Oryzias latipes: one gene and its partner. The protein of the gene in region 2 binds, or shares a complex with, the protein of the main gene of each other region. Links are inferred from orthologs where the notes say so. Each region holds a gene or a part of one and is shown on either strand. Other genes may lie near its edges.

Region 1 (4,900 bases), on a different chromosome or scaffold from region 2:
GCAGATGTGAAAAATCGTTCAACTTAAACCTAAATATCTCCTAAAAAGGAAGCGATTAGCTAAAAACAACACAAAAAAACAGGTAGAGACATATAGGTTTGTTATAAAATAAAAGATGCAGCGGCGCGGGATGCAGAGTTTGTTATTTAAGCTTGAAAAAGACGATGACTTTACCGTCAATAACAAACGTGAAGAGCAACTATTGATGGGGGGCTACCTATGGAAGGAGAGCCACTTGATTCCGTCACAGAGCACCACTCCTGATGTCATCAGCAGCTCTGCAAAGAACAGCGTCTCGATGCCTTCTTCCTCGTGCTTCTTGAACTGAATTCCTGAAGTGGTCAGGAGCTCGATGGAGTCCTGCGCGTACATGTCCTCTCTGGTTAAAACAATAAATACATAAATGAAATAAATAAATAAAACACATCTCTGTTTCTAAGCTTCACGCTTTCATTCCAAAAAAACAACAAACAAAACGCCACAGAATAACCATTAAAAAACTTAAACTTTGTAGGTTTGCTCAGCAAAGAGGGAAACCTTCAAAAAAAAACTTAAGGCAGGAATAGATCGACTAGGATCTGACTGGATGCTGGAAAAAGTGCAAATTCTTCCATTTGGGAACGATGGACAGAATAACGCTTGACTTTGAAAAGCATCGTTGAACCCACGGGGGACCAATCGTGTGAGAAGGGATGAAAGCGCCGCTCTTATTCTGAAAGACAAATGCTTCTCCTGTAAGCCCCGCCTCCTCCGTCCCAGAACATCCACCATGGATTTCTCCAAGAATCTTTAGATGTTTTACATGATTCACAAAACAAACATAACTTAAAATTTTTTTTAAAAAGCCACCCAAGCTTACGTAAAAAAAGTAAAAAAAAACCCCATCTGTTTAACAATAAAAAACAATTAAAAAAACACCTGTGCTTCCTATTTAGAGCATGCATTATTGCTATTTTTTTCATTAATTACTTGTATTTTTCAGGCAGCTTTGATCTGTTTTTTTTTTTTTAAATATAAAAACTCCTATTTTCATTCAGGATGCTTTCTCTTCGATTAATTTAAATCCCCTTTGTGCGCCTACCCCCTCTGATAAAAAAAATGTAAGTTGTGTTTTTGGAGGGCTTAACATGTGGTGGTGGTTTTTTTTTTTGATGATACATAAAGAAAATTAACCTTCGTCTTCCTCGTCTGAGCTGGCTCGCCCTTTTTGTTGCACCGGTCAATATCAGGTCAGGCGGTATGAGGGGGCTGTAAGCTACCGGGAGATTGTGTAAACAGAGAGCTCTCAGCAACAAGGAAGGAGAATAAAGGGTAGAAACTGCAGAAACTATATCCAGGAAAATGACAACTTTTTTTTGTGTGTGGCTAAAATACGGAATAACCATAATTTAAATCTGATTGGGAATGCTTTTAAAATAGATCAAAGGCATATAGGACTTTAATGTGTTTTGAATTGAATTGTTTTTACAGATTGTGAAGTCGTTCATGGGAATCCAAGCGGACGAGTCTGTTTAGACATAGTGAGAGACTCACGTGAGGCTAAACTTAAAGTTGAACTGCCACGTTGACGTCCCGGGGGGGTACTCTCCCTGCTCGTTCATGAAGGTCAGGCCCAGCTGGATGATCTTCAGCAGGTCCACGTTGCAGCGCAGCAACTGGTACTGATAGTCGGCATTGCTCCGGAACTCTCCGATGGGTCGGGCTACAACTCCTGGAAACTCTGTGTCCTGAAAGAGGCAAGAACGAGGGACCGTGGACACCAGTGACAGTGGGTGGGTGGGAGGATGGATAGATGGATGGATGGATGGATGGGTGGGTGGGTGGGTGGGTGGATGGATGGATGGATCGATGGTTGGGTAGGTGGATGGATGGATGGGTGGGTGGATGGATGGATGGATGGGTGGGTGGATGGATGGGTGGGTGGATGGGTGGGTGGGTGGGTGGATGGATGGATGGGTGGGTGGATGGGTGGATGGGTGGGTGGATGGATGGATGGGTGGATCGATGGTTGGGTAGGTGGATGGATGGATGGATGGATGGATGGGTGGGTGGGTAGATGGATGGATGGATGGATGGATGGGTGGATGGGTGGGTGGGTGGATGGATGGGTGGGTGGATGGGTGGATGGGTGGGTGGATAGGTGGATGGATGGATAGGTGGATGGATGGATGGATAGGTGGATGGATAGGTGGATGGATGGGTGGGTGGATGGGTGGGTGGATAGGTGGGTAGGTGGATGGATGGATGGGTGGATGGATGGATGGATGGGTGGATGGATGGATAGGTGGGTGGATGGATAGGTGGATGGATGGGTGGGGTCTCTGAGCATCTCTCACCATTGCGATGTAGTTGTACTTTCGGATGACGTGCCGGATTCTCTTGAGCTCCTCTTCCAGGTTACTGGCCCAGACCTCACATATTCTTTGGCTGTGGTCTACAGTGGCTGCGGGCATAGTGCCACTTCACCACGCGTGGAGATGGGGGGCGGGGGATGATGAGAGCATCATGAAAACACAGACAAAGCAGCCGAAACCACATGAAAAGAGCCGCTTAGTTAGTAGTAGAAGTCATGTGTGTTTTAGCCGCCTGCTAGCTCGTAATTTAAAGCAGCACTGTTGCTAGCTTGTTACCTGTTAACAGTTAGCGGGTTGGAGGTAAAACTTCCGAACAAGAGGAGTGGCGACTGTGCGGTTTTCTCACACAAAACATTAGTTTCGATCAACTACACAGGAGTGGTTGTACAACAGGACAGGCACGAGTAAGTAGCAGCAGTGCGCGCGCGCGCACACACGCCGGGGCGTCACTTCTTTTCTTTTTTTTTTTTTTGGGAGACTGCAAAGGTTTTGTTTCGTTGACTCACCGTTCCCCGAAACGGGCGCGCGCGTGTTTGAGCGTGTGCTATCTGAAAGCTGGCCGTGTGTTCTGTGATATCTGTCAGCAGGGAGGGGAGGGGGGTGTTCCGCCAACTTTGAAATACTTTTATATTCAGTGGGGCTTGATGTCAACCTACGGCTGCCATCACAGCGGACCCCACACAGTGACGTCATTACGTAAAGTGAAACGTCAGGACGTAAGGACGTTTCAGGATCCTCATCCGTAAAATGTGAAAAAAGGTTTTCCAATAAATGTTTGTAAAGAGGAATATATAAATTTTAAAAAGTACAAATAAACGTTATATATTTCTTATTAATTACTAATTTATTCAAGGTGAACAGGCTCTCGTTGAAAGTGTATATATAATTATTTTCAAAGGATATATTATTTTTAAAAATTATACTGTACAGATTTTTTTTATTTTTTCACAAAATATATTTTCTTTTCAATTTATATTAAAGTAAAATAAACTTTTTTTTGCCCCTAAAGTTATATTATTTTGGTAAATTACTGAAAAAGTTTTACACAAATAAAAATGTTAGCCATGAAACCAAAAAGGCCACATTTTAAATTCAAGTAAAACATGATGCAGAGATAAATTCGTTTTTCAAATCACTTGTTTTAATAAAAAAGTACAATTTTCACAGACGCATCATAATCCAACGTTCGCATTTTTGTTGATTTTGATCATTTTATGACCACTCTAAGATGAAAAAAAAGAATGCATATGATTGACATCTTTAAGGGAAACATTTTCAACAAATATGGACTAGAGGACATTTAGGGTGAAAAAGATTTTACCTTTAACTTTTATTGTTGAACACAAACCCTCAATAACCAATATGTTGTGTAAATGCCCTTATAATTTTTCATACCTTATGTAATTTTTGTAATGTTTAATTTTTTTCTATGTTATCTGTATTTCATTCTTTTTCTTTTTCTTTGACCTTTAACCCCTCATCCCGTAAGTTAGTAATTCATAACATTTCATTTTCTCCAGCACTTCATTCACAAAGGAAGTTTTTTCAACATTGAGAATAAATTCGGGCATGAAGTATTTTACACAGCTGCAAAAATGATGACACCAGTGGTTCTTTTTGTGATGCCAAACCTGAAACTATGACCCACATTTTCTTGATTTGTACACATCCTCAGGTAGGATGTGTACTTTTTAAAACAAAATAATTTATTTATAAACATATTGTTGCTTCACTTCCTCATCTTCTATTTATTTGCAACACAAAGACAAAATGGGACAATCTCCCACTATGTAATTTTTTCTAAAATAAAAAAAATCAGTGGCTAATATAAGATTACAAAAAAATCGTTTTTAGTAAATATTATTGCATTTAGGCTGCACGGTGGCGCAGTGGTTAGCGCTCTTGCCTCACAGCAAGAAGGCCCCCGGTTCAAGTCCCGGCTGGGGGACGTGAAAAACAGAACATCAATGGGGGACCTTTCTGTGTGGAGTTTGCATGTTCTCCCCGTGTATGCGTGGGTTTTCTCCGGGGTCTCCGGCTTCCTCCCACCATCCAAAAACATGCTTCATAGGTTAATTGGCAACTCTAAATTGTCCATAACTGTGAGTGTGAGAGTGAATGGATGTGTGATTGAGGATATTCCACCCTGCAACAGACTGGCAACCAGTCCAGGGTATCCCTTGCCTATGCCCAAGTGGCCGGGATAGGCTCCGGCAGCCCCGTGACCCCGAAAGGGAATAAACGGTTAAGAAAATGAATGAATTATTGCATTTTTCATGCTAATTTTTTCTGCAATTACTTCTCTTTATTATAATTTTATCAGTTAATGGTATTTTTCGATGCTCATACATTCCACGTTCATAAATCATTTAAACATTTTGTTATTTCGTGTTTTATTTAAAAATATGTAAATACATTTTTATAAAAAATTACATAATTTTAGATTTTATTTCTTTATGTTTACAACTGTTTGTATTTTTGTCTTAATTAATTGGAGAATCAAAAGAAGCAAAACAAATCTCAAATAATACATTTTGCAAGACATA
Region 2 (4,670 bases):
ACCAGTTTCTTCTGATGTTTTATTTATTTATTATTATTTTTGAGATGGTTACTTACTCTCCTGTCCAGATGAACTCTAATTGAAGGGAACTGCTTCACCACCTCCAGCAGCCTCTCCTTCTGCCACTTCATGGATTCGTTTTTTCTCCTTCAAGGAAAATTCTGCCAATAGGTTCGCTGAGCACAGCTTGTGCTCAACAGGTGCTGTTCGTTTTCAACCTTTTACTCACAATCACCTGTCTAGAATCAGCTGCAAATTACACACAAGTTTTCTGTGTTGACATTGCAATTACCAGGGAAAAAAAGCTTTTGTTTTATCTCAGCTTAAAGATGATTTGTTGTAATTCATCGATGCTGTTATTTTATTTTGTTCTGCATCCACATGATTGCGTTTGCACCTGATTTCAGATTAAACCGGTTCAGTGTGGGACACACTTGTGGTTTCATTTGAATTTGTCATATCCATCCATCCATCCATTTCTGTGTCACAGTGTTGTCTGTCGTAGGGCACACAATCACACACACATGCACACCTATAGGGACACTATTAGAGTAGCCAATTAACCAATGAAGCATGTTTTTAGACTGTGGGAGGGAGCTGGAGTGCCTGGAGAAAACCCACACATGCATGAGGAGAACAGGCAACTCCACAGACAAAGGTCCCAGTCGGGATTTAAACTGGGGCCTTCTCAGCACTAACCATTGTTCCACCTTGCAGCCCAGCGGCATTGTTATATTTGAACCCTGTTGAAGGGAATTTGCAGGACATGGGTGGGGGTGGTTGGGTGTGTTATGTTTTGGGGATGGCTCCCATCCTCGTCTCCTTGATTAGCTGTTTCCTCTATGTTCTTTCTTAACTCCATCTCTGCCTCTTTTTCTTCACGTTGTCTCCTTATTATTTGAAGTTTCCATTAATCTGTTTTAGTTCCTCTGTTTCTTCTTCTACCTCGCCTCACCTTTCCCTCTCCTGTCCATTGGAGAACAAGGAACAGTTTACCTTTAACTTGCATCTGGTATTTCATTTCTCACTGAGGTTATTGTAGTTAACAAGAAAAAACCAAACTAGATGTGATAAGGCACAAGAAGGAGACAGAGGCTTTGGGTAAGTAGCTCAATGACACCTGTGTTGACACCTTGATGCTACAAGACACAATCTCCAGCAGCTGCTCAGAGATCCGCCCAGCCTGCTGAAGAAAGAGGCGCACCATCAGACTGACCATAGCCACTGAGGAGAAGGACTGGAAGATACAGTTGAGGAGGAGGAGGAGCAGCATCATCAGGTGTCACTGAACTAATCCATGCGTATACCCCTGCAGGACTTGGAGAAGAAGCTGGATGTGTGCCGATCCTCATTGACGAGGCAGCTGTTGACCCAAAAGGAAAAGAGCAAGGAAGTCAGAAAAGAATCTTGCAAATAACAGGAGCAGACTGATCAGCTGAGCAGATACATCCTAAAGAGTTTCTGACTGTTTCATTCTCTGCCTTTTACTGACAGACAGATATTGGAAGTGGAGAAGTTCCACTATTGAGCTCATTTAATGAAGCCACAGAACTGTCTTCTACCTGATCAGCAGCCTGACTCGATAGGACGGATGTTAGATTTTGTTAATAAAGTTTGTTTATACTTAACTACAAATAAAGTTTATTCAAAATAAAAAAAGACGGCGCGTGCTCTCATTCTTACCATGGACAGTTACTTCCAAAGGGGGCGCTGTTGACAAACCGTGCGCTGGTGTCGATGGCGCCAGTGACCGAAGAAGAACCAAGAGAAGCGGCTACAGCAGTCAGTCACTGAAGCCGACCACAAACAGAGCTGGTCCGGTTCGTGTAAAACTCTTTCCAGTTGGATATTCAGGATTTCCTCTTCCCGGCGTTGTTCTTGTGTTCTCCTACAGCTCCGCGGCTGGATTGTGGATGAAGACCCGGGAAATGGCCGAAAACTCCGGTGGGTGTTCCGGCTGATGATGCTACTAACTAGCTGCTGCTCAGTTAGCGGCTGCTTCTGCATGATGATGATCCGTCAGTGTAGCTGAAACCCCCCCAAAAGACATTAGAGGTAGCCCGACAGCCCCGTGGCAGATCCAGGACTCCCAGGTAACCGTCCCGAAGTTGGGGTGCAGATAATACTGAGCAGACTGTGGTTAGATCAAAGTTCTTGAGGTGATCCAAGCAGGTCCTGCTGCTCATCATGGAACTATGACAGGACAGACCATAACTCAGACACAACACCACGTATGAAGGAACCCCAGCTTGGCCATGAACAGACGCGTCCCACAATAAACTGAGAGAAGGTCATTACGTCGTCATACACGTGACATTCTTTTGCTAAACTTAAGGCTACAATATCTGCCTTAAATGAGAGGGATTTTCAGAAATGGTCTTAGGAAGTTACCATGTGGGGTCTGAAGCCTCCAGAGTGAGAGGGAAGGACTGCAGAGACATGGCGCCCTTTGGGTTCTGGTTGAGCCACGCATTCCGTCCTCAGGTGGAACTCAGAGGGTTTGATGTCTCCTCTGTTGCAATTTCAGCCGAACGCAACGAGGAGAAGCATGACGGCTCGGGTGTGACGGGCATGAGCGACCAGGAGAAGGAGCTGGCCTCGAGTGCGTACGAGTGCTTCTTGGTAAGTCCGTCTCTCTTCGGATCGTCAGCAGAACAGGTTTTGGTGCATGTGGTGGAGGCTGGAGCTGGGTAATGCCACACGACGTGAAGCCTCTGTGTCTCACAGGCTGGACGGTACGAAGAGTCCATGAAGCACCTGGAAGCCCTGCTGGAGTTCAACAAAGAGGACTACAAGATCGCCATGAACAAGGCCGTCACAGAGTTCTACAGGAGCAGTCAGACCACCACGGGCACTTTGAGGCAGACGCTGATGGCCATGAAGAACCGGGTAACAGCAGCTCACCGACACCTGCACTCTAATACGTTATGAGACGTTTGATTGGCCGACTGTGTCCGCCAGCTCCACTCATCGCTGACGGAAGACGCCGATGGCCTGGACGACGTGGAGAACAGCCTGCTGTACTACAATCAAGCGGTCATCTGTTACCACTTGAAGCAGTTCTCTGAGGCCATTTCCATTGGAGAGAAGCTCTACCAGTTCTTGGAGCCGTTTGGTGAGTAGTCAGCAGGGCAGACTCCCCGCCTGCCGCTGTCTGTGGCACAGGTGCATGCTCTGCTCTGCGTCTGGACGTTCACATGGGGGTCACTGAGGTCACATTGTGAGAACACTGGGGTCCTGTTGTGTCCCAGAGAGGTCTGTTTCAGAAATGGAGAGTCCCTGCAGCCTCATTGATTATGGACCTGGAGTGTTTGACGACGCTGAAGTTGGCTTCCGATTCACAGCTTCCAATTCTCCAGGGGACTAAAGGAACATTCCACGGCATTTTTCACATGAAGGCCACGTAGAACCGGTTCCTCTTCAAACCCCACAGGGCCTGGACTGCTCAAACCTGGATTCCATTATGATTTAAATAGTAAATACATTAAACACAGATGTGGAGAAGTCTTCATGAATGTCCAATGAGGTTTAGTGCATGGACACACCATCTTTGGTCATGTGACCCTAAGGTCTGTGCTGAGCTCAGTTGACGAGTTTTCAGCTCCCTGGTAGTTGCTCTTCAACCAGATTCTACAAACTTCTAGCTTTTCCAATAATGGGAAATGTCAGATGTTGGGGGGGGCACACCCAAAGTCACCTGTCAGTCACCAGATCACGCCTCCTTTTTGATCCCAAATACCCTCAAATGGAAGCATCGTCTCCATTGTAGTGTCTGTAAATGTAATGAGAGGTCAAACCTGGATTTATGCTGGTGCTGCCTTTTCTGATGTAAACATCCCAGCTTTCTTTGTGATCTGACCAATCAGCTGATACTTTTCTTTTCAAACCAGCTTCAATGATGAAGTTAAAAGTCTTGGTTTGAGCCACATCTTCAGGCTGTCCATCTTCAGACGGCATGTTGTGCAGCAGGATCTGTTCTCAGCGCCTGTGGGTTCAGCTTTTTTCTGCAACGTTCTGTCTGAAAGCTCCTGTGATGGATCAAGTTCCCACAGTCACCGTCCTGATCCTCAGGGACGCGTCCCGCACAGTCTGACCCAACAGGAAGCCTGCTGGTGCAGACTGGACTGGGGGGGATTGCTCCATGCATGGCGTGCCTTACATCAGGTCTGCTCTCGGCTGTGTGTGTAAAGACTTTTTCATTTGTCCCAGAAGAGAAGTTTGCTCAGGCCGTCTGCTTCCTCCTGGTGGACTTGTACCTGCTGACCTTCCAGCCAGAGAAGGCGCTGCACCTGCTCGCCGTGCTGGATAAGCTGTCTGCTCAGGGCGGCAGCAGGAACGGGAAAGGAGAGGTAAGCGGCGCCGGCAGTGTGATGAAGAGACGCCTCATTTACAGGAGGAGGCTTTGTTCTACTTAGATTTGTTTAACCTTTTTCTGTCCCTTAGGTAAATGTTAAACCTTAAATCCTAATGATTTACAAGAACAAAGATGTTGAAAAGCAGAGTTATGGTATCTTTCGGAGTATAAATAGCTTTTTAGTTTGGGCAGGGGTGTGACTTATACTCAGGAGCAAATGATATATGTGATTTAAAAAAACTGTTTTTTAAACTGAGTCTGAAGAGACGGAAGCACCATTCAGACGCAGCTCCTGCAGCAGACGGTGAAGCTCACC

What was found.
Region 1: cnot10 (region 2) and CCR4-NOT transcription complex subunit 7 share a complex: the UniProt entries of both Homo sapiens proteins name them as parts of the CCR4-NOT complex. The link is inferred for Oryzias latipes from reciprocal best matches to the Homo sapiens genes CNOT10 and CNOT7.

What each region holds. Positions count from the first base shown.
Region 1 is NC_019868.2:26,784,170-26,789,069, forward strand, and holds the start of CCR4-NOT transcription complex subunit 7, read right to left. Parts: upstream 3,063-4,900; 5' UTR 2,861-3,062; exon of another isoform or gene 2,631-2,860; intron 2,461-2,630; 5' UTR 2,454-2,460; coding exon 2,337-2,453; intron 1,728-2,336; coding exon 1,534-1,727; intron 380-1,533; coding exon 218-379; intron 1-217. UniProt on the Homo sapiens protein: Has 3'-5' poly(A) exoribonuclease activity for synthetic poly(A) RNA substrate. Its function seems to be partially redundant with that of CNOT8.
Region 2 is NC_019874.2:7,745,342-7,750,011, forward strand, and holds the start of cnot10 (CCR4-NOT transcription complex subunit 10), read left to right. Parts: upstream 1-1,717; 5' UTR 1,718-1,913; coding exon 1,914-1,944; intron 1,945-2,527; coding exon 2,528-2,622; intron 2,623-2,727; coding exon 2,728-2,889; intron 2,890-2,961; coding exon 2,962-3,115; intron 3,116-4,209; coding exon 4,210-4,349; intron 4,350-4,670. UniProt on the Homo sapiens protein: Component of the CCR4-NOT complex which is one of the major cellular mRNA deadenylases and is linked to various cellular processes including bulk mRNA degradation, miRNA-mediated repression, translational repression during translational initiation and general transcription regulation.